3 linked regions of the Schizosaccharomyces pombe genome follow. The gene in region 1 interacts genetically with each later gene. Each region holds a gene or a part of one and is shown in the gene's direction. Other genes may lie near its edges.

Region 1 (7,176 bases):
ATTAAGATCAAACCCGGCTAGGTATAAGACGGGTTCAAGAAGAACAATGGAAAGCGACATGCCACCTCCATGAGAGGAGGCAAGAGCTTTCTTGATTACAGGAGGAACAACATCAGAGACGTTGTTTCCAATGATGGAGGTGACTTTTGACGTACCAAACAGGTTTGCAGACGAGGGACTCCAAGTAAGAGGAGGTTTGTTGCTCATGTTGCGCACCGGCGTGAGGGCTGGGTTTGGTAAGACATTGCCGCCGGTATTGGAAGAGGAATTATTTGAATTATTAATAGATGATAGAGACGGCTTGCTTAATCTAGAAGACAAGCCGGAGGATGGAAGGCCGAAGACTGAATTTCTACGATTGAGGCCCGAATTACTGGAACGGTTTTCATAAGGATTAGAATCATTATCATCTCGAGAAGAACCATTTTGGTGGTGTAAAGAAGCCGATATCGATTTCCCAAAGCGACTAAGCGCTGGAATATTCAATTCGCCCCTCATATGGAGTTTGGCGGGAGGAGGGAGAGGTGGTAGTGCACCTGAATATGACGAGTCCGGATACAGATTTGAAATTTTCAAAAGGTGATACAAAGTTGGGAAAAAAAAGAATAAAGAATTACAAAGAAAAAAAGAAAAAGTTACGACCTTGTAATTCCAACAATGGCCACACTTTTTTTTTTCTGTGTCTCGGTTTCAAAGCGGATAAATAAACAAACGGAAAACCGAGATCCGTAAATGCAGTCAACAGAAAAAAAACTTGTACAGTACAAGCAGCAAAGAGCTAGAAAATGAGAAATGTATGTATATTTTGGGAGAAGACAAACCTGAAATAACACGAAAAAACAGTTGAGCTACACGGGTTGCAACAGAGCCCACGGTTCGAATAGATAGGTACTGTCTTCCAGTTACCTTTAGGATTGGAGGGAATTTTTTTGCTATTTTAGCTAATAAGGATTTGAAAATAAGGCCACTATTTTTTTAAGTAGTTCGAAATAAGAACGTGCAAACACGACACCAAGGTAGGAATGAACGCTAGAAAATGGATCGCTGCTAAAGCGAAAGAGAAGGTAAAAATGCAAGAAATAAGTTAATATGTATATAGATATGCTCTCAAGGTCAATCGTTCGATAGTAGTCTCAAAATAGAGAAAAAAAAGCAAGGATTGGCATAAACAACAGATAGATATGAATAAGATGGCGAATCTGCTTTTTGAAACTTGGCGTTATCTAAGATAAAAAAGAAATTGTTCCAAGATGGAAGCTGTAAAGCACTCCAATGCAACAAAAATGCAACACAAAGTAATAAGCCAACTTGCTAGTTTATAAGTGAAGAGAGAGTAGAGTCCCTTCAAGAAGGTGTTGCAAAGGCAGGGTTGTGAAATTGGTGAAATTTCAATCTCATAAGGTAACGAAATCGGAGAAGGCGAGGCAGACACTTTTGTCTAATCACTAGTCCTTAAGTCTTCAATTGCTCGATTATCTACCGGGTGCAGAAGGGAATCAAATGGCTGGCCTCTTTGACATACTTGTTACCAATCGTCTGTGATTACCGAAACAAATGAGTCAGCAAGGTTAAAGAGCAATTCGCCTCTACGAAAGTAATGAAAACAGTTACTACTAGTTGTAAACAAACACACGAAAGAGTGGATTGCTATGGAAATAGAAGCAATGCTGTACTTAGTAATCCAAAAAAAAAGCATTTTCGAATATATCATATTATTCATTTACTTATCGCCCTTCTTTCCTTGCTGATCCAGTACGTTAAAAATTTTTTGTGTGGTTTATTGCATTGTTCCTGCTGGTACGTAAATAGATTAAGAAAACAATAGGTAAAACCTTTTTTGGGGGTGTCCCGGGGTTACGGCGATTGTTGACATACACAAAACTATACTTTGCTGTCATTTTCACGTAGTCCTCTTCTACGGAACGTTGCACCCTACATTTAACTTTTACTCTATTCTTTTTCTTCTTGTTTAATATTAATATCAGAAAATGTTAAAACGTTTTGCCATAAAGAATGCACGTACTATTTACTAATGTTTTAAGCTTTGCTATGTCTTCTTATCTCATCCGAGCGTGCTCGCTATTTTTTTATTGCTACCAATTTAGCGAGCATGGAGGAAACGTATGTTACTTGTGTTTACTTAGTATTTTAAAGGCGAATAAGGAGGAAGCGTAACGGGCTGGTGAGTGGTCCAATATGCGGGCCTTGGCTTCTAACTCTGCTTATTGGTGAATCTTATGTATTGTAAATCCCGCATTTTTTTAGTCGATCCTTTGTCGATCAAGCTGCACGCGAGCTCACTAAAAATCAAAATAGCAGAATGCACTGCTCTAGCATGTACAGTGTCCCAGTAGATGTAAAAAGAAAGCGTACGTAGTTATGTAATTCCAGATTGCCATAGGCATCTTAGTATAGCTAATATCATCCCTGCTTAGTATGGACTGTTTATATCATTATTTCTACAAATATTACTATGATGGTATTACTTATGATCATTACTGTTGCTGTTGTAATAAACTACTATCATGACTAAATACCATCATTGACTATTATGATGTTTTTCTCTTTTTCCCAACCTCGCTATTCAAACATGAAACATGTATAATCAACTATTGTAAACACTAACTCCAATGCTGTCTCAGCGACTGCCCAGGACTACCTAGTCTAATTGCAGTACAATGGTACCATTTGCAATCCCGACACATGCGATAAATATAGATTATTCACGATTTTCGCACTTTCAACACTTTTATCATCCTCGCTCCGACAATATTGTTTCTCGTATAGCGTCATGTCAGTCGTAAACAGGCCTGAATAATGTCATCTGTTTTTTGTTCTGGCTCTTTGAATGATTCTCGTCGTTAAAGATATGAAAAAAAAAAATTGGCTTAATAAGCTCCTCAACATACACGCCACACCTCTTATTCCTCGCAAGCACTTACTGAATCACTCTTGCTTCTACAAATATGCAGATGTTTTATTGGTGTCAATTTTCAAAAAATACCACTTTACCATACCATACCATACCAGTCGACCTTTAATCACCCTAAAACATTAACCTTTTAGGGATCCCTAGTGAACACAACGTAAAATGCTGCAGGCTAGAATGACTGGCCTTCCCAATTCTGGCTAAGTTAATAAAGGTAAAGAAATAATGTGTGTAAAGGGCAATTGCAGATGAAGGTATACATTGAAATGCTCACACAAGTTGTAATCAATCAGAAAGCAAATAAAAAAGTTGCATGTAAATTTGTCTACGGTAAAGCATTAAATGAAATATGGACAAAACACAATAGTTGGAATTTGACTATTTGCCGTATAAATTCGTGTAGCTGGTTATCTGTGCTACGGCATTGCGAAAAGTACAATATGACTTTTAACATTAAAAATGATACCAAGTATTCGAAAATTACTTGCTGAATAATGATTGTCGAGGATATTTGGCATGTTTTTATATTAGACTAACTATGTATCCGTCACTAAGCAAACTCCAAGTAATTCACTCAAATGAACAGCTATCTTAGCTGATATTTAGATTTTGCCAAGTCTCATTTAATAATTGACTATGTTATATTCTTCATCAATATATTATTTCAATGAGAAAAACGTATCCAATTACTTCAAATTTAGCATTTCTGTAATTTTTTAATTTCATTGAAAAGTATGCTTTAATTGAGTTTTTTTCTGCCCCTCACATTCTACGGACTTAAAATAGGTGTATCTATTCATGCATATTCATTCATTCACCATCGTAATCCACCAAAAGGCAAATTACTCTAATCCTCCAAAATACAGATTCGTTTCGAACAACATACCCATACTCTACTATCTTCTTGTTCTTTCAATTTATTACATATAACGGCTTGTTAAGCTGCATTCCTAGAGTTTCTTTCGCAATATGGGAAAATTTGCTCTTAACTTAAACGCTGAGTTGACTGGTGTGAAAAATTTAGCTCCCAAGGATGAAGAATCCTTCTATTATGCTTTTAAAGTCCAATGTAGTGGTTGTCGAGAGATTCACGACAATGCCATTGAAATCTCCCGCAGCGAGACTCACAGCATACCTGGCAGCAAGGGCGAGGCTAATCTCATATGGACGTGCAAAAATTGTCGCAAAACTTGCTCTTTCGTTATAGAGGGGCCATTCTCTCCTTACAATGATTCTCAAGAGACGAAAAAAGTTCTCGTATTGGAATGCAGAGGATGTGAACTAGTCGAATTCATTCCTCAGGGAGAATGGATAGCTAATGGTGCTGAAAGTAATACACTTTTTGACGAAATAGTATTAGAGGATGATTGGTATGACTATGATGAAAATGCCTCTTCAGAAGTGTCTATTACAAATTTGGAGTGGTCTATTAGTAAAGCTTAGAGTCTAATTTAACTTTTTTTTACTCATGTATTTGTATATATCACTAAAGATATCGTGTACCCGTTTATAAATGTTGTTTAATGTACAAAAAAAAATTAATATAGTAAATTGTATTCATGAAGCAGTACCATCTTTTTCAAGCTGGCTTTTGTAATATTGGATTCTTTCTTCAATGCAGGCCTTCCATATTGGATAATTTTGAAGTCGTTTTTCGTAATCTATTTGAATCATGCTTGCTATCCCACTCCAAGGTTTTATCCGTTGCTTTTGAGATTCATAACCCTCTATACCATTTAAAGGGATTTCTTTATACTGCCAACTTTCTGAGAGGACATGCATCCAATACTGAATTTGCAATGCAGAACTTGTATCCTGTAAAACACTCTGTGCCTTTCTTCTCTCGGTGTGATTTATATGAAGTTCGTCTTTTCCAAAAGCTTTTGCCGATACTAGTAAATAAGCTGCGATTATGATGCCTCTTTTGTGTTCGATGCGCATGTCGTTTGTAACAACGGCTTTCACCAATTGTTTAACATAAGGTATAGCAGTTGAGCCCCCTAGTTTGGTACAAAGATAAGTAATGGTTTCCATCAGATCATCTTTAGCTGCTAAGGATTTAGTTAATGGAGATAAGATTTCTTGAAAGTAAGTGAAAAGTTTATAGTATTTCTTTTTTGGAATTGGAGTCGCTAGTAAATTTATTTCCAAATTTAAATCATTGGATAATCTTTTTAAAGAGTCAGAACAAGTTCAAGTAGAGTAATTAAACATCAGAAGTTACTTACAGTTCACAAGCTAAGTGCGCTGCCATATAAGGACGGCATAACTCTTCTGTCGCCTTTAGATTATGTTTATATTTGGACCATTCCAAAAATGACTCTCCTAAACTAATAAGCCGTTCATTATATTCTGTACTTTCAGTGGGAATTATTCTGCGTAAAGACTCTATAATCTGTTGTCGCTCCATGAGAAAATGAATATATTTAATAAAACTTTTATCATTTAATTTTGATTATTAATTATTGAAATCATGTAATCATTCATAATATCATAATAGTGGTGAACGCTTAGTTTGTTTTATGTCAATATGGTGTTTAATACAGAGACATTTAAACGATGTTTTTAATGCTGCTAATACTACCAGCTGTTTCAAAAATATAAAATCTATCTACTTGATGCACCACTGAATTTGGTGTTTATATTCCGTACTTATTTAATATGACTCTTGCTTAATCATTCCGGTTGCTAGTTATCTTAAATAATGTCACCAAAAGCTTAGAATTTAGACCTACATTCTTCAAGATATTACTACAAAACTTTCGAAGCAGTCTTCAAATTTTTTTTTATTTAATAATGAATTACGATTGCTTTATTGGGAGGTAGTGTTTTAGGCTTGATAATTCGGTATATTACTCTCTTTTAGTAGTTTAATCAAGGCTATATGAGGCATACAGAATAAAATATGCGTGAATAGCGTGAGTTAATATTAACTACTTTCCATGTTGGTTTCATAAATTTTAAGCGAACAAACAAGTTTAGGTGGAACCGTTGAATTATTTGATGACTTTTTAAATTTTTAAAGGAAAAAATGATGAACGATCAACTGAATAGTAATAAATTAATCCTTATTGATTGAAAGGTTGGATAATGAAATCGACTTACAACGTTACTGACAGGGTTAAGCTGACGGACTCGCACTTCTCATACAATCTCGGTACTCACCACTTTAGCAATTGAGGAAGTTGAGAAAAGTACTTAACTTTAGCATTAATCATATAGCTCAATGAAAAATATTAAATATGAAAAAAGAACATCATAGCCCTTGGCCGGACTCTTTGAAAGAATTTATTGGTAGATGCATCCAAGACGCTGAGGAAAACAGCCAGCCAGAATTAGAGGATGAAGTAAAATTGCTAATTTCTCGTCAATACGAAATGGGAAACATATGGAATGTTGATTGGTCTTCTATGAATTTAGAATCCCTAAGGAAACTGACAAATGCTCAAAATACAATCATCGAAGATAAAAAAAGAAAGGTTGAGAAGCCTGTTTCTGGAAATCAATTTTCACTTTTAAGTGAAGAAGATGAAGTGGATAAGAAAGAAAAAAGAAGAAGAAGGTTTGAAAATGGTTCTCGTTCTCAAAATAACGCTAAATCTGAAGAGCTAAAAGTCAACCCGGAGAATGGTGCTATTATAGGACGGTCCACAGAATTAGAGAAAAGGTATTTGCGATTAACTTCGGCTCCTGATCCGGATACTGTTCGACCCCTTCCAGTTCTTAAGCAAACTCTCGAACTTTTAAAGAAGAAATGGAAAGAAGAGAAAAACTATGCATATATATGCGATCAATTTAAAAGTTTAAGACAGGATTTAACTGTGCAAAGGATTCAAAATGAGTTTTCTGTATTAGTTTACGAAATACATGCTCGTATAGCTCTTGAAAAGGTACGGTTAATTACTTTAAAATATCATTTCTTCTTCTAACGTTCGACTAGGGTGATGTTGGCGAGTATAACCAATGTCAAACTCAATTATTTCATCTTTACAGTTTTGGTATACCAGGGAATACTAAGGAATTTTTAGCATATCGTATTCTGTATATGCTCTTCACTAAAAATCGATCTGGTAAGTTAATTACGGCTTACTGCTTAAAAGAATATATCTTTTGAATTCAAATTATTAACAATTTATAGAAATGAATAGCCTTCTCGCCAATCTAAAAGAAGAAGACAAAACAAACGCTGCTGTTACACATGCATTAGAAGTCCGTTCGGCGATGGCTACTGGCGATTACTATAAATT
Region 2 (7,382 bases), on another chromosome or scaffold:
TCGGGAGCTTCCATCTGGAGCTGATCAAGAGTATCTTAAACTTCGCTCATCGGATGTTGTTCTGAAGTAAAATTAATAGACTTAAAAATGAACGCTATACTTTACTATCGAACTCGCTCATTTTCTCCTGAAGTGCATTAGACCAGGTATGGGTTACGAACGAATATTATACTTGCTACAGTACATAATAATAAAGATATTTTTTTATAGTCTAAAATGAAAATATTCTTGGACGTCGACGTCGCCGTGGACAGATACTAGGAGCCGACATAATAAATAAGGTGTGAACTTCATTGATAGTAGGAGTAAATATACAGCAACTAAAGTTGAGAAATAACTTGATCCAAAGCATTGCTACATTTAAGAGCTCCGCGTAATGCATTATGAGCAGCAATGGTCGTAGAAACTACCATACCAGAACCGTCCTTTTTTTCTTTAGCTATTTGCAACACACAACTACCTCGTGAGTACTGGTTTGTGATAGATAATGGCTTTCCAAATTCTAAATGTTTAGCCAATTCATTAGCATGTAGACAAGCATCCGTAAGCTGAACCAAGGTTGTCCTATCTGTAGATTCTGGAAAACAAAGCACCTCCTCTAAGTTTTGATCAGCAACGTATAAAACAGTTTTTTCCTTTCTTCATTTTTCATTAGTATGGTTGTAATTTACTTTACTGAGAACTTACGATGCTAACTCGGACAATTGCTGTGAAACTGACATTTTCGACTCGATTTATTTACTTTTGATGCCTCGCACTATTTTTCTTACTGAATTAGGCCAAAATTCTTCTTCCAACAAATTAAAAAACAAAACAAAACAAAACGACTGTCTGTGCGGTAAGCTGAGGGTTTCTGATGTATCGCAAAGATTGCGTCTAATACTCCTCTGTTCAAGTTACGTGTACTGCGCACATATGGTTATGGTACTGACAGGGTGATATTACGAACTGCTGTAAGTCCTTAAAACTACATAAAGAGAGTATGCTATGCCTCGTTATATATACGAGCAAAGTTTTTGACGGTTTCATTAAAATCACTTATATTATATTATTTCTGCCAGCATCCTTTTGTTACGTTTGGTCGACCCGTGATTAGAGATAAACCCAATTGTTAAAAATATACATAAAACCTCTGTAATAGAATATTTATTATATTTGGCGATCCCGGTGCATAAATTCCCACTGCATACAATGATATGCCGATTATATAATAGAACAAGTTAACAAAACGATATTTGGTCCTTTCATATATCCTCATATGGAATTGCACTAACTTGCGTAGTAAATAGCTGTGGATATTTACACTGAAAGTACGAGTTGTATTGACTGTGGAATTTCTAGTATTTAATGTCAAAACAAAGTTGAGTGCAAGGATAGGTAGGAGGCATTATTGCGGAATTTTGATTATAAACACGTTCAAAAAACCCCTGGAGCCATGTCAGTTACAAATGCCAATAAACTTCGTTCTTCCGCATTCCTGTCAACGAACATTTGGCAGTCCACACGGAAACGAAAAAGCAGTCCAATTTTTTATGAACAAATTAGCAGGTAGTTTTAAGAAATTAAAGAAATAGAGAATGACTACAAACTGATAATTATTAAGCGGACAACGTGGAGTTCTCATGGTACATCGTAGCCTAAAAACTAAGGATGTTACTTGAAAGCTCACTGCTACTTTAAGGTAGATGCTTTAACAATATGCCTACTCTCATTCCACCGCAACAGTGCTATCGGTTTAATAAAAAAACCAAATTGAAAGCAATCTTTGCGCCATAAATCTATAAAAATGTCTATGTTTGGAATCGGAAAGAATAATCAGACCATTAATCCTCAGAACATTGCTATGGCTGAGCAAGAGGTTGAGATGATGTCTGATATCTTTAATAGGTATGCTTAATAGAGAAGCTAAGGATTGATATTTACAGCCGTCTATTTTTACGTTTCAAAATTCATCGTGAATTTAAGTATTCGAAGGGTTGTCAAAAAGTTACAAAGTCTCAGTACATACCTTGAAAGTAGTGCTGTACTCGTTTAAGTCAATTGTACTGCATACCTAGCTTTTTTAAAAACTATGGTACTTTGGTAGACTAATTTTTGGCAACGTAATATTATTCCAATTTTACATAAGTATTTGTTTACTTCTTTAATACATTTACATTGTTTTATCTTATGAAAAGACCAATCCGACGAATTTCTAAAAATTTTTCTACAAAAGTCGCTAACATTCCTTTCTAGACTTGTAATGACCTGTCATAAAAAGTGCATATCTCCTAAATACTATGAAGCCGATTTAACGAAAGGAGAAAGCGTGTGTATTGACCGTTGTGTATCGAAATACTTTGAAGCAAATCAGAGTCTTTCACAGCACATGCAAAAGCGTGGTCAAGAAAATCCAACACCATGAGCCCTTTGATTATCAACACATCTACCATTGTAGTATAAAATGGGTCATGTCCGATCCTATGTTACGGATGGAATGCTTTAAAAATTTCTCTACGACTTTTGGGATTCTCATTATACAATAAATAAAATTAATTTATAGTATTATTTTGAATAATGGAATGAAACCTGTGCGCACATCCGTGATATGGTGGTTCATACAGAAATAATTTCGTTCTTTTTTATTTGATGTCGTGTTAAACCATTTACGATACTCTATAATCTATGGAATGATCAACTTCTCTCTTCTTTTTCAAACGAAGCAATACTAATTATTAACTCTTTCATGACACTCTTTCTATCGTATTTCAAACGAAAGTTCCACCAAGCCCTCAAGTTTTCCCATCTGTAATTGTTGCTATTATTATTAATCACCCGTTCTCAAACTGAAACCTTTTACTATTCAACCCATGATTTAGCAGTCATTTGTTTTAGCCGAAAATTACTCATTACGCTATCGTTTTCTAGACTCTAGGAGATGTAAATAACTTATGTTTTAGGAAATAGTGTCCCGCTATTAGCCCCCACGGAAGCTGTCGTTTTTGTGAACTTCTTGGAAGAGATGCCTCATGCAGCGCCTCCTTGAGACTTTTGCAATTGTAAATCTCTTGTGCATTACCTTCTATAACGATATAAAGTACACACTGTACTGCAGCATTACTCACAAGCATTTGTGTTCTTCGAAGATTTCTTTCCGAACCTAGTCGGAGCTGCGTTCCACCTTGTTCCGTGCCTGCGTTAAGTGTTTCACGGAAAGTAAAGGCACGCTATACGCCTGACGGCTGATTTCAATAGACAAGAGATATGTCTGCGGATATAGTACCGTTGAGCGCAGTGAACGAAAGTCGTTTGGTAGTCGATATGCAGCAATTGCTATAGTTGAATACATAAATAGTAATTCTAAGTTTGTAAAAAATAGAAATAAAATTGTAAGATTAACGACATTGTATATTTGTTTAATGGTTTGTTCGACCGATCGTCATGACATAAAGTGGAAGCGCTCAGCTCATCAAACTTACCGGGAACCACTTCGACTCCAAGTTTGAATTGCATTTTATTTTTTACCCTTTTGGTTTCTTTACATTTTTTTCTAAGTTTGATATCAATTAATCGGAAAGCACTTTGAAAAACTACTGATTCATCATATCAGAAGCATACTTTAATTTCCTTAATACCACCTAAGGCGCTCGAAATTGTGAAATCTCGTTTCATTAAAAAGAAAAGAAGCTTTAGGTACTAAAATTACCATAATTGAACGCTGACTAGTCTTGGCGAATCCTTTTTCATCATCATTATTCTCAACTACGATTTCATGTTAATACTTGTTGGGCTTCTTCGATTCGAAAACGGGAAATTTGATTCTAACAATCATTCTTTATCGATTCATTGATTCTTTTTTTTCTTTTTTTACCTTCCTCTTCTAGATTTTTTTCTACTTTTTGTAAGTTCATAACACTTCGAACACAATTTCATATTCGTTGCATCTCCCTTATATAAGCTTTACCCTTCCAAAAGTTTTTTTCCCGAGCTTTACCCGACATTGATTTATTTGATTTAACTAATTTATATATATAATATTCATAACATATATATATATATATATATATATATATACATTACTAATTCTTTTGGTGTCCTTCGTTAGTGAGTGAAGCAGTCGTTGCTAAACTCTTACGAGATTTTGAAGAATCATCCAATTTTTTGCCGCTATTTATGCAATAATAGGTCTCAATTCAAAGCCGTAGAAATACTTTTCCTCAAGTATTTTTGTTTAACTTATTACTTTGACCGGTACAATCAACCAGTGGAGACAAGCGACATTTACTTTATTTCATTTGGGTTGTTTCTATTTCTATTCTTTTTTTACTGTTATATCCTTCTTTGTGCTTTTTGGTTTGCTCCAAGTATCAGTAAAACTTCGTTACACTCCTTTTTTGTGCTACATCATTTGTAAATCTTTACACTTTCGCTTACCTGTGAAAACTGTGTTTCCATTTTGTGATGTTTACTGCTGTAAATTCCAATCCAAACGCATCTGAGAGCATTTCGGGAAATTCTGCATTCAATTTCCCGTCAGCACCTGTATCTTCTTTGGATACGAATAATTATGGTCAACGTCGGCCCAGTCTTTTGTCTGGCACATCACCAACTTCTTCATTCTTCAATTCCTCTATGATCAGTTCTAACTATACTTTCCCACACGGATCAAACAAACAAGCTTCCTTAGAGTCACCTGTTTCCTACTCTAACCCGATCCCGTCTTTAACTTGGCTTTCACTTGACGGGGATTCTCCCGATTCACTGGTATCTACGCCTACTGCCCCTTCGGCTAATCATCATGGTAATCCCTTCCCTAATGGTAAACAAAGTATAAAGGCGATGCCAAGTCTTGTTAATTTGCAAGAAGATTCTGTTATCTCGAAGTTTCCTAACTCACTGGAGGTCCCTTTTCGTAAGCGTTCCGAATCAACTAGCTCTTCTTTATCTGGCCTACATTCCGATTTGCGTCCTTTGAAGACAGAACTTTATGGTCAGTTGAACTCTGAGTGCGGCGCCCGATTTCCACAAACCCTAAAATCCCCATTGACGCCCATTGGTGGTGATTCTGCTCGTACAGTTTCTGCTAGCACAGCAAGAACATCTGATAAGTTTTTCCCTCGCCATACGCGCGCACATTCTGATTTTTGGATCCCAGCTACAAGTAAACCTTCAAGACATGCTTCACATTCATCAATAGGCGATTTAACTACTATTACCCAATCTTCTATTTCAAGTGGCTCAGGATCTTTTAAACCGTCTTGGGATGGCTCATTCGACTCAAGTTTGATGGCTCATCAAAGTTATGGAACTTCTCCTGCATTTGCTAATGGTAATTCACCTACTTTGAAGAATGATTCGTCATTTTTTGGATCAGCCTCTGTACGTCCTACTGTTTCTCCTATTGGTACTTCATTTAGACAAAGTTTGCCTGATATATCTGCCTTTGGTATTCCAAAAACCGAAACCAATCCTTCTGAAGTAGTTGCTCCTGGGACTATTCCTATAAGTGTATTACCAACTTCCAATTTTTCGGCAGCCACTCCAGCTAACCCTTCGTTAATTAATCAAAATGGACAGGAATTTTTGCAACAATCCAGAGTTCTGTACTTATTTCATGCAAATAAGCAGAGACATTTCGAGTTATCTGATATCCTTGGAAATGTAGTTTTGTTCAGTACCGATCAACATGGCTCAAGATTTATTCAACAAAAGCTTGCGACGGCCACTGAAGAAGAAAGGGAAGCAGTTTTTCAAGAGATTGCGTCTACTAGCTGTTTGCAATTAATGATGGATATCTTTGGTAATTATGTGGTGCAAAAGTACTTCGAATTTGGTAACGAGAAGCAGAAACAAATATTATTGTCGCAGATTAAAGGTCATGTTTTTTCCTTATCTTTGCAAATGTATGGTTGCCGAGTTGTTCAAAAAGCTATTGAATATATTTCTCCTGAGCACCAAGTTCAACTTATTCAGGAATTAGATGGTCACGTCCTAGATTGTGTATGTGACCAGAATGGAAATCATGTTATTCAAAAAGCTATCGAATGCATTGATACTGGACACTTACAGTTCATTCTTAGAGCTTTGCGCCCACAAATTCATGTCCTTTCCGCCCATCCATACGGTTGTCGAGTTATACAGCGTGCCATTGAGCATTGTCATAGTGAGCGTAAATTAATTATAGAAGAACTGCTACCTCACATTTTGAAATTAACTCAAGACCAATATGGAAATTACGTTGTTCAACATATATTGAGAACCGGAAGCGAGAGCGACAAAAAGTACATTTTTGATCTTATGATAGATCATTTGCTATTTTTAAGTTGTCATAAGTTTGCATCTAATGTTGTAGAAAGGTGTATTTCTTACATTTCCGACGTTGATCGACGTCGAATTTTGAACAAAATCATCTCTGAGAAGGCTGAAAAGTAAGTATCCTCTTTTATTTGCAACTCCAAGAATGTATCTAACTAATTTCGTTAAGTTGTAGTATTTTGATGTTAATGATGAAGGATAAATATGCGAACTATGTGATTCAAAAATTACTTGATGCCTCTCCAGAGGAGGAAAGGGATCTTCTTATTTCTTACATATATCCTCATATATCTGTTCTTAAAAAATTTACCTATGGGAAGCATTTGATAATGTGTAAGTGGTTTATTCAATTTTTTTTTTCGTTACTAATTATTATGATAGCGGTGGAACGTTTCCGTCAAAAATCCATTTCCGCAGTTCCCAAGCTGGCCAGCAAGGAATGCAAGTAACCATATAATATGATGAATGTGGATTTTGCCTTGCTTCGCCGGCTTAAAGTGGTACAAAACTCTTCCGTTAGAAGTTGTACATAAACCTTTTTTTTTAATGTGTTTGTTTTTTCATGTACTTTATGACACTTTCCGCATCTCATCAGCGGGGCACGAAATGAACCGAAATGTTAAACGTGATGCTCTTTATTCCATTATGATATTGTTATTATTGTTATCATTTTTATGATTATATTCACTATATATGGAGACGAACAGCAGCACTTATTATTTAAGATAAGCCAAATTTACCTTTTGAATGAAAAAATATTAATTTAAAATTTTATATAAGCATATACTAAAAAACAAAATTATTTGAAAATTTTAATTTAAACGTGAGCTATCACTAAAACATTAGTACTAGCTATCTAAAACGAGCAAAGGAAAGCTTGATAGGTCAAAAATAGTAAGTAAGAGGTTTAAGCAATTAATTTGCCAGTCTCTTCCGATTCAAGGTGAGAGGCATCTCCGAACGTATGAATATGACCGGTCCCATGCTCAGTCACCTCAATCTCAGTAATGCTGGTATTAAAGGTTATGATTTTGCTTTCGAGTTTCGATTTGTCAAAAGTGAAACCCTTTTCCTCCATAAAATGAGTT
Region 3 (8,672 bases), on another chromosome or scaffold:
TGGACATGTCCGTTCCGGATGGATGGTGGCTAGACGGTATCGAGAGTTTGCAGAGTTGCATAAGCAGCTAAAGCAAACATACCCTGGAGTCAGATCTTTAAAATTTCCTCAAAAATCGATCATCACCTCTTTAAACAAAAATGTTTTGGAATATCGAAGGGGTGCTTTAGAAGAATATCTTCAATCATTATTCAGAATGCCAGAGGTTTGTGACAGCAAAATGTTGAGGATGTTTTTGTCACAACAAAATATCACAGCACCACAAATGTTTAATCCTAAAGAAGTTGGCAAAAAATGGAAGCAGCTTTTAGAAGTCTTAGGGTTTGAAGTTAATAATTCTTTCAACGCATCCAACGTTAACACTAACTCGTCATTCTCAGGTCCCATCTCGGAATTTTTAGTCGAATTGTTTTCTCCAAATGACGATGCAAAGCAGCAATGGTTACCGAAAAAAACTTATATATCGATATTGGAACAACTTTTTGGCGGAGCTTTGGAAAAGCGTATACGACTACAACTGTTTCAGTTGTTTACGCCTGAGAAGATTTATAGGAAGTTACGCGAGTTTAGACGAGGACTTGAAGGTAAATCTAATCATGATCACTCCAAAGACCGCCGTCATTCACGGGCGCGAAAGCCAGCTTATGCTGATAGGAATCAATTGAAAGCAGAAGCAGGGATTTTGCTTGCTTCCATGTTTCCCGGCTATACACCTGATATTGCTGTGAAAAGAATATTTCGTATTCTCCAAAACCAATCTCTAAACGCTCATGTTATATACACCCTTCTTGACGAGATTTTGCTGGCTTTAAAGAAACACGCTAGATCAACTAATAAGGCAACTTGAGTGTCACTTTTTTACCTCTCTTGTTAAATCATAGCAAGAGTAATCATGTTCATGCTTTTCTTTAATCATATAATGTAATTTCTTCATAGGATTTGATAATACTTTATTACAATTCATCCACTAGATAATTTCAAATCCTGTATTGTTACTGACTTTAAAAGAAGGGTTATACCATTTGAAGTACAAATTATGCGTAAAAATTAAAGCAAAAAGACTTTTTCATTTTAGCCAAAAACTATCAAATTACTATGATTTTTCTATCCCCTCTCCATTTTCTTGCATAAGCAAATGGTGGCTTCTAGTAGCGATGTCGGGTAGAGTAATCTTTTGGAGAAATAACAAGACCTTTACCTTTTCTAGCACCACGAAAAATAGTTTCTATAATATCGATCATCTCTTGTTTATCTTCTAACGGCCAGTTGATTTTGTTATTGTTACCAGTACCTAAGTCAATCATCATGTGTTTGTTTCGATAAAAAAACATTATTGTAGTTCTGTCATAAAGCTCGTACATCTAGATGGTAATAAGGTTAGCAACATGACTTTCCAACTAAGACTTAGACTTACCTTGTTGAAGTCAGGAACTTCGTCAATGTCCACTAAATATATGACAGCCATGTTGACGACCTTTTCAGCAATTCTGTATAGGACTTCATCTTGTTTTATACATTCTTCATCCTATTCCGTTACGCGTTAGTAAATTAATCCGCCTACAATATTAAATAGACTTAATCCAAGTAGATATCGACATTAGAACATACATGATCTCTACCAAATCGAATGACAACCAAGCGCTCTTGTTCTATTTATAAAAAAAAAGGTTAATAAGCTGATTCGAAGTTGTGAAACGAGAAACATTCTACGTTTCTTAAAGTTCGCGTACCTGATAAAATTGCTTGATCAACGTGCCTATAAACATAAGTTAGAGAAGAATAAATCCATCTATCACAAAAACTTACCATCCAGAATGTAAATGAGGTAAAAAATAACTCATTATATCAACTGAAGCTGCTGAATTGCAATATTTTGGTAATTTCTAGCAGACGAGAATAGTGTAGATATGTAAGTCACACAATATACACTTTGCGCGTTAGGATGTAGCAATGCTTTAACTCTACGTAAAAAAGCGTATAATAGTGTAAATGCTATTCAGTAAATAAATTTAGTGAAGTTATGAGATTCTTGACACAAGTGGGATTGCTATTACTTTCGTACATTACATGCTTAGTTGAATCGTTGATGTGTTTACTACAATTATATATATTCATACTTCATCTAATAAAACAATGAAATTCAGAATTTTTTACAATTCTAGAAACCGACCGTTTAAGCAGTTTACTGTGTTTAAAAATTAAAGTATCCGTAATATTCCAAATATTTTGTGAAATACTATTATAAAAAATTTAATTTAGAATCGTAGCTAGGCCGTATAAAATTATTTTTTCAAGTCCCAATCGCAACATAGACGAATGACCTTTGCGTTTTTCTCGACTCCATAGCATAAAATTACAATTGCAAATTCTTTAAGTGACTTGGGTGTTCGCGTTGTAAGCTAACTTTTCTTTTTCAGATTTGTTTGGAGAGTGCAGGATATGCTATAAATTTGTATTTAAGAAAATTTCTGAAAGGTTAAAGTCGCCAAAGGTTGAAAATTTTAAAATGATGTTGATTCATGATAATGGCTTCGGGGAAGATAAGTGTTCCACCCATGTCTTAAGTTTTAATAGTAAATGGCTTAGGATTACTTTATTCGTCTACAAATTGTTGCTTCCTCTTGCTCTGTGAAGACTTGATATGGCCCCCTCTATAATCCACGAACCATAATAGAAATGCAAATCGTTTATAATGGGGAGCTAGAAATCAAGCTGGCGTTTTAGGGATAAACCAAATATTGTCCAAAGCAAGTAATAGTCATCAGTGGTTTCATTTAAAATACATCAATAGTTGTTAAAATGCAGATAATTATGCTGACCTGTGAAATTTTTGGGGTATGAAGAATCATGTAATTAGAGTTTCTTATACACTAACAGAGCTCCAGCTCTCTCTCGACTTTCAGGAATCAAGGAGTTATAATACCTCTGTACTTCTTCATACTTCAACCCTCGGGAGTCAAGATAGCTGTATAAGCTATAAAACCGCTCTTCAAAGAAAATCAGATAATCCGGCCATTCTTTAATTTTATCTAGAAAAGTAGGCATATTCTCGTAAAAACGATCCGTCTCATCAAAGGGCTTTTCGAACGGTTCACATGTCAAGAACTTCCATCCATTTTCAGCAAAAGGTGAATGGATATGCGACTGCCATGGTGTAGTGTGACACGGAGCAAGTATTAGACCAGTTTGGTTTTTTTCAGCAAGTGAATGTATTAATGGCATAACTTCCATGACTCCAAATTGATGAAATCGGCATAAAAATGTAATTACCAGAGCATGTCCCAATCCAATAAGGAAGAAAAACCGTGCTGCACGCTTCCAAGAGGAAAATGATGAAAAAAATTTTCCAGCTAAAGTAAGTAAAATCGGTGAAATTGGGTATACAAACCGAAGTTCTTTATGTCCTATCAGTGAATAGGGAAAGAAAACACAAAGAATGGTTCCCGCTGTTTGAAGGTCCATTGTGAGTAATACGAATGGAAGAAATCCTCCGCATATTAATGGGAGGGCTTGAGAAAGGTAATAGTGCCATGCGTTCAATCCATACAAAGAGGAAAGGCCTGAAGTAACATTAAATTGAAAGAACGAAATGATGGGAAAGACAAAACGACCGTAAAGTATTCTATCAGCAATAATATTAACTAAAAATAAAGACACACACAAAACGAATATGCCAAAAAGCCGCCCATAACCGAGAGCATATAAAAAACGAAAGCGATTAAAAACATTGGAAAACGAGAGTAAATCCTTTATGGGTGTTTGAGGATTTTTGTTCCAGAATAAAAGTGGGAATATCCAGACTAGTATATTTGTAGGTCGGATGAAACAAGCAAAGGCTGCGACTGAAATGAAGCCCAAAAGTGAAGAGTACGCTTTCTTACGTTGCTCAGGAGAAGAGTTTTCATATTTTAGGTAGTAAGAGAAATAGTAAAATCCTATGGAAGTCAATGTTGTCTCCAATGAATTGGAAAAGGTTCGGACACCAACGTACGCATTCATTATGGAGACAAGAGAGCAAGCCAACGTCCAATTCGCGGTTTTAGAACCATATCTTACTAGTGCAAATTTATAAGTTCCATAATCTAGTATAGCAGCAAACGTTCCTTGCAGGAGTTTTGGAGCGTTCGTGAAAACGAAGTAAGATGAGTCTAACTTGAGTACTTGCAAAACACGATATAGCGCTGCAAATATAAGCGGATGTAGAGCTGAACGGATTGCTGAGGTCCATTCCCACGTTAAGAATCCATAGCGGAATATGAAGTGATGGGCCACCTCTAACGATTGGTAAAATTCATCAGGTTGAAAGAACGTTTTTACCCACAACGCATTCCACCATCGGAAAACAAGAATCGCTAACCAAAACCAAATTCTCATGGCTTTTCGATGTACGTTACGACGGTTGGAATGCTACCGCGCTTCTAGACTTATGCCTTACAAGCCTTCGTTCTTGTTCAGTTTAATAAGCAATGTCAACGAATACGAACGGTTTGTGCCTTTCTGTCAAAAGTCCAAAGTCACTGAATACGATCCTAAAACTGGATATCCTACAAAGGCCGACCTTACAGTTGGTTTTAAAGGATTGTGTGAAACTTTTGATAGTAAGGTGGTTTGTGATCCTGTTGCCCTAACCGTGTTGGCAGACGCGTCCCATCATCGTCTGTTCCGGCGGCTTAAAACACATTGGAGTATTGAAGAGGCATCTCGGGGACGTGTTCGTGTTGATTTAGAGGTGGATTTTGAATTTGCAAGCAAACTCCATGGCATGATGAGCAAGTTTGTTGGATCTTCTGTAGCTTCTGAAATCATTCAAGGATTCGTCCAACAGGCTAAAATAAAGCATAAGCTAGAATCAGAAAATGAGAAATAATTACAATGATCCTGCATACAAAGGGGCTATGCCGCTATTCTTTCCATCTCAGCGTTTTTCCATCGTCTCTCTTTCAACCAAAGAAGGATATATTTTTATAAAAGGTTTCTTTTAGGAAATCATGGCTTCAGTAAGCTAAATTTTGGATCCTTCTCTTCACCTTATGTATTTATTTTATTTCATTTTTTTGGATACTCGCCAATATCATGGTATAGTTTGCTTTACTGCAATTTTTTTGATGCACAACAAAAAACTTGGTAAATTATTTCTCTACTATTAAATCAAGAGCTTAGGAGGAATTCTCATTTCTTAAAGAAACTTTACTTTGACGAAACTGTATTTTTTTTTTTGTTTTAACAATATGTCTTGAATATGCCTTCCTTTTCTTGAGTCACTGATAACCAAATATATATAATTATAGGGGTGTCTCTCTTTCTATTTAGTGCTGAAATATTGCGGATGAGCTTTGCCTCTAAAGTTGATAACCAGAGATCAGGAGTCCTTGAAGGTCAACTGTTTACAAAATTATCCTTCCTTGCTTTTGAATAGAAGGTGAAATTGGTTATGGAATGCTTCATGAAGATTTGCATTCAAAATGCATCCAGAACAATCACAAGTGTTATTTAAAAGTAAAGAATCCCTGAAGGAAAGAAAAAGTGATCTATGATGATCGTTGTTAAAAAGTCTATCAAATTTGGTCTACTGAGATATATCTAGGGAAAGCAAAATCATTTAAGTAAGACAATTCATGAAATACCCGGAGCACCTTTATAGTCGACTTTTCTTTCGATGATAAACATGACATGATTTCCATTATAGCTACAGAAACGAATTTTATGAAAAACAATCTTGTGTTTACCAACATTTTAATATCGTGCTCTATTAAACTGTGCAATATGCAAATACGGTGTTTGCCGATTTGCATTAACGGGAAGTATTTCTCCAGTAAATAAATGAAGCAAAGTGTTTTTATGTAAAATCCTTTTATCGCTTTTAACTTATAAGGATTTACTTAGTATATAAAGTTGCTGAATGGAGCCTTAAAAGTTCTAGCTGTTTTTTCGTGAAATAAACTATAGCATCACCATTCCATAGGTCCATTAGAAGTTGTGGAAATTATCCATGAGCATTTTTATATAGTGAAATTAGAATAATTTTTATCATTGAAAATAAATTATTAATTTAGTTCATTTCGAGGATGAAAACAAGTTTTATTATAATATACCTCTTATTTATACCGCATTGTTTACATCGCACGATATAACCAAACGAATCCAGTTAACGATAGCTACAACAGCCATCGGTATTAAACTATAGTGATTTGATAAGATGTTTCGAAATATATACTGGATAATATAATCACTGTCCGCTATCATAACCTTAAAAAGAAATCTCCTCTACAACTGCATTACTTGTTTACTGTGATAGTACTAAGAAATTCTCCACGTAAACCAAAATCTATTTTTTTTTCGAAATCTCGTATTTTATATACATAGGTTTCCCCTGTCATTTTAAAGTTCTGATTGTTTCTTTGACCTTATGGAAACCCATTTTACAATGCATTCAGTATAACGCTATCTAATCCATTCTCATATACAGTATAACGTAGTTATAAGTATATTGATTTGCGATCTCTATCATATTACAACGAAATACAATCCAGTCTGCAAAGCCATGACTTATATGACGAACTAGCTACATTTCTTTCTCCATTAAATCGATTAAAGAAGTATGGCACAAGACGATTCTTACGAAGAGAAACCTGAAGTTATATCCAGCGACTCGGGAGGAAGTGGTTATTCAACTGAAATCCAGATCGTCGGTACAGTAACTTCCTCGGACGGTTCGTATGTTGAGTATGAAATTGTACACCAGGTATGTGGCTTGAGATCCTTGGTATCTATGAGTTTAGCTGCTAATTTTTATACTGTAGAAGCGTTCCGTTTGGCGGAGATATTCGGATTTTGAGTCCTTGGTTAAGTTGATGCGTCGGCAGTATCCCGCTGCAATTGTTCCTCCTATACCGGGAAAACAATCACTTTGTAAGTTTTCCAATATATTTAGATATAATATCTTTCATCGCGTTTTTTCATTTTCTTTTCAAACGTTTATTAACATGGGCTGTGTGCAATTCATTGTACACACATGCTCCGCTGTTTAGTAAGTTATGCCAAACATCCACGAAAAGCTAAAAGTGATGCTGAATTCTTAAATTTTCGCTCCAGGATGCTAGAATTGTTTCTTCGTCAGTGTCTTTTGCATCCATGCATTCGTTCCAATCCTATTTTCGATAAGTTTATTCATAGCACTGTTTCTTGGCACGTGACTTTATCATCTTTAGATTTACCAAAGGATTCAAATACTGATCCACTCCGCCTTCCTCCTATTGCTACTGAGCATGACCCATTCGCTCATTTGCGCTCTTCCATGCCACTTGTAATGGCCAACTCATTAAGTCCCCCTTCGTCTCGCGCATTAAAGCCAATCCATTCCTTATCTAATCCTTCAACTGCTTCGAGTTTAGAACCTTCTTCTCCTTTGGGCTCTGAGGATGAATGTCATCCCCCAACAAGCGATATGCAACCTACGCATGAATTGAATGAAAGTCCTTCTACCCCAACGGCACCAGACTTTCCACATTACAATAGCTCACCTTCGGAGTTATCTCCCACACAGCGTCGTTCCAGCATTTCTAATGGTAAAGACGCACCCTCTCCAGTACTCAAAGATTTGACTTCCTATACTCAAGAAGTGATTGTTTGTCGGAAATTCCTTCATCATAGTCTGAGTCCTTCCATACATTCAACTTTATCTAGTATTTCTAAAATGGAGTCTTGCCTTTCAAAGTTAGGATCGGCATTTCACTCTTTGACTGCTCTCAATGAAATACAATTAGCAAATCATTTGCAAGTGATTGCTAATGCCTTTGAATTCAGCGGAATGTACGCCAAGGAATTCGAACAAGAATTTAATTCCTCCGTCTATGAAAAAATGGTTCAGTCTATGCAGCTGGCGAAGTGTGCCGCAGATGCTCTTAAGTATAAGCAATTGAAGATACAACAGCGAGATTTTCTTCAAGACCAGCTCATCCACTCTAACACAATGTCTGCTACCGACTCTATGGTAGCTGCTTCACCCACGATACACCCGGCGACCAGATTGAATACTATTCAACGAGCAGTTGTCTCCCAAGCCAAAAAGGGTTACACAATTTTTGGTCGCTTACAAAACGTTTTACATGACTTTGTAGAAGGTGAAACCTCCATTAGCAAAGAAAGTCTCCAGCAGCATAAGAATACCATAGAGAATCAACTAGCGGCTGCAAATTGGGATTGTCAAAAAATTGACGAATTCATGGATGCAGAGCTTAAATTCTACAAAGAATGTCAGACGTCGCAGTGGGAAGAAATAATTAAATCTGTTCATGAATGTATCTACAAATGGGCACAAACAAATTTACAACGATGGTTGCGAACTCGTGAAGAACTCGAAAATTTATCGAAGGACATATAAGTACGTTGGGTAGGTTTGCTTATAATTGCATTCCGAGTCTTACATACTTTGTATTTTATTTTAATTTCTGCATACATCCTTTTTTATGTTTCTTTTTTACGATTTTGTTAATGACTAATAATACCACATGACAAGCCTTAACTATGAAAGTCATATTTCCCTTGGAAGATCTATCGCTTGGATAAATTTTTAAGGTCGAGTACATTTTATTAATGAAAAATTTATTTAATGCTATTATAGATTTAGAAATATTAATAATACTAAAGCATACAATGAAAGCTGTTCTTCTTTG

What was found.
Region 2: of ess1 (region 1) and tim10, a mutation in one rescues a mutant of the other (synthetic rescue), as found in Schizosaccharomyces pombe (one study listed by BioGRID).
Region 3: of ess1 (region 1) and coq10, a mutation in one rescues a mutant of the other (synthetic rescue), as found in Schizosaccharomyces pombe (one study listed by BioGRID).

The regions. Positions count from the first base shown.
Region 1 is NC_003423.3:2,965,518-2,972,693, reverse strand, and holds ess1 (protein ess1), read left to right. Parts: upstream 1-3,741; 5' UTR 3,742-3,898; coding exon 3,899-4,372; 3' UTR 4,373-4,431; downstream 4,432-7,176. Other genes in the region: aly2 (arrestin Aly1-like protein), read right to left, coding at 1-498; origin recognition complex subunit Orc6, read right to left, coding at 4,487-5,099, 5,158-5,339; iss9 (nuclear export factor), read left to right, coding at 6,172-6,819, 6,870-6,999, 7,068-7,176.
Region 2 is NC_003424.3:942,986-950,367, reverse strand, and holds tim10 (Tim9-Tim10 complex subunit Tim10), read left to right. Parts: upstream 1-1,715; 5' UTR 1,716-1,786; coding exon 1,787-1,887; intron 1,888-2,235; coding exon 2,236-2,404; 3' UTR 2,405-2,492; downstream 2,493-7,382. Other genes in the region: Ino80 complex subunit Ies6, read left to right, coding at 1-70; Ragulator complex subunit Lam3, read right to left, coding at 321-639, 688-722; pumilio family RNA-binding protein Puf3, read left to right, coding at 4,441-6,407, 6,464-6,627, 6,676-6,743; SPOM_SPAC1687.21 (fructose-2,6-bisphosphatase), read right to left, coding at 7,202-7,382. UniProt on the Schizosaccharomyces pombe protein: Mitochondrial intermembrane chaperone that participates in the import and insertion of multi-pass transmembrane proteins into the mitochondrial inner membrane.
Region 3 is NC_003421.2:876,794-885,465, forward strand, and holds coq10 (ubiquinone-binding protein Coq10), read left to right. Parts: upstream 1-4,372; coding exon 4,373-4,867; 3' UTR 4,868-6,101; downstream 6,102-8,672. Other genes in the region: sorting nexin Snx12, read left to right, coding at 1-847; U4/U6 x U5 tri-snRNP complex subunit Dim1, read right to left, coding at 1,146-1,361, 1,415-1,525, 1,609-1,649, 1,731-1,756, 1,807-1,841; gpi10 (pig-B family GPI synthesis protein), read right to left, coding at 2,854-4,374; sorting nexin Atg20, read left to right, coding at 6,599-6,742, 6,801-6,909, 7,029-8,380. UniProt on the Schizosaccharomyces pombe protein: Required for the function of coenzyme Q in the respiratory chain. May serve as a chaperone or may be involved in the transport of Q6 from its site of synthesis to the catalytic sites of the respiratory complexes.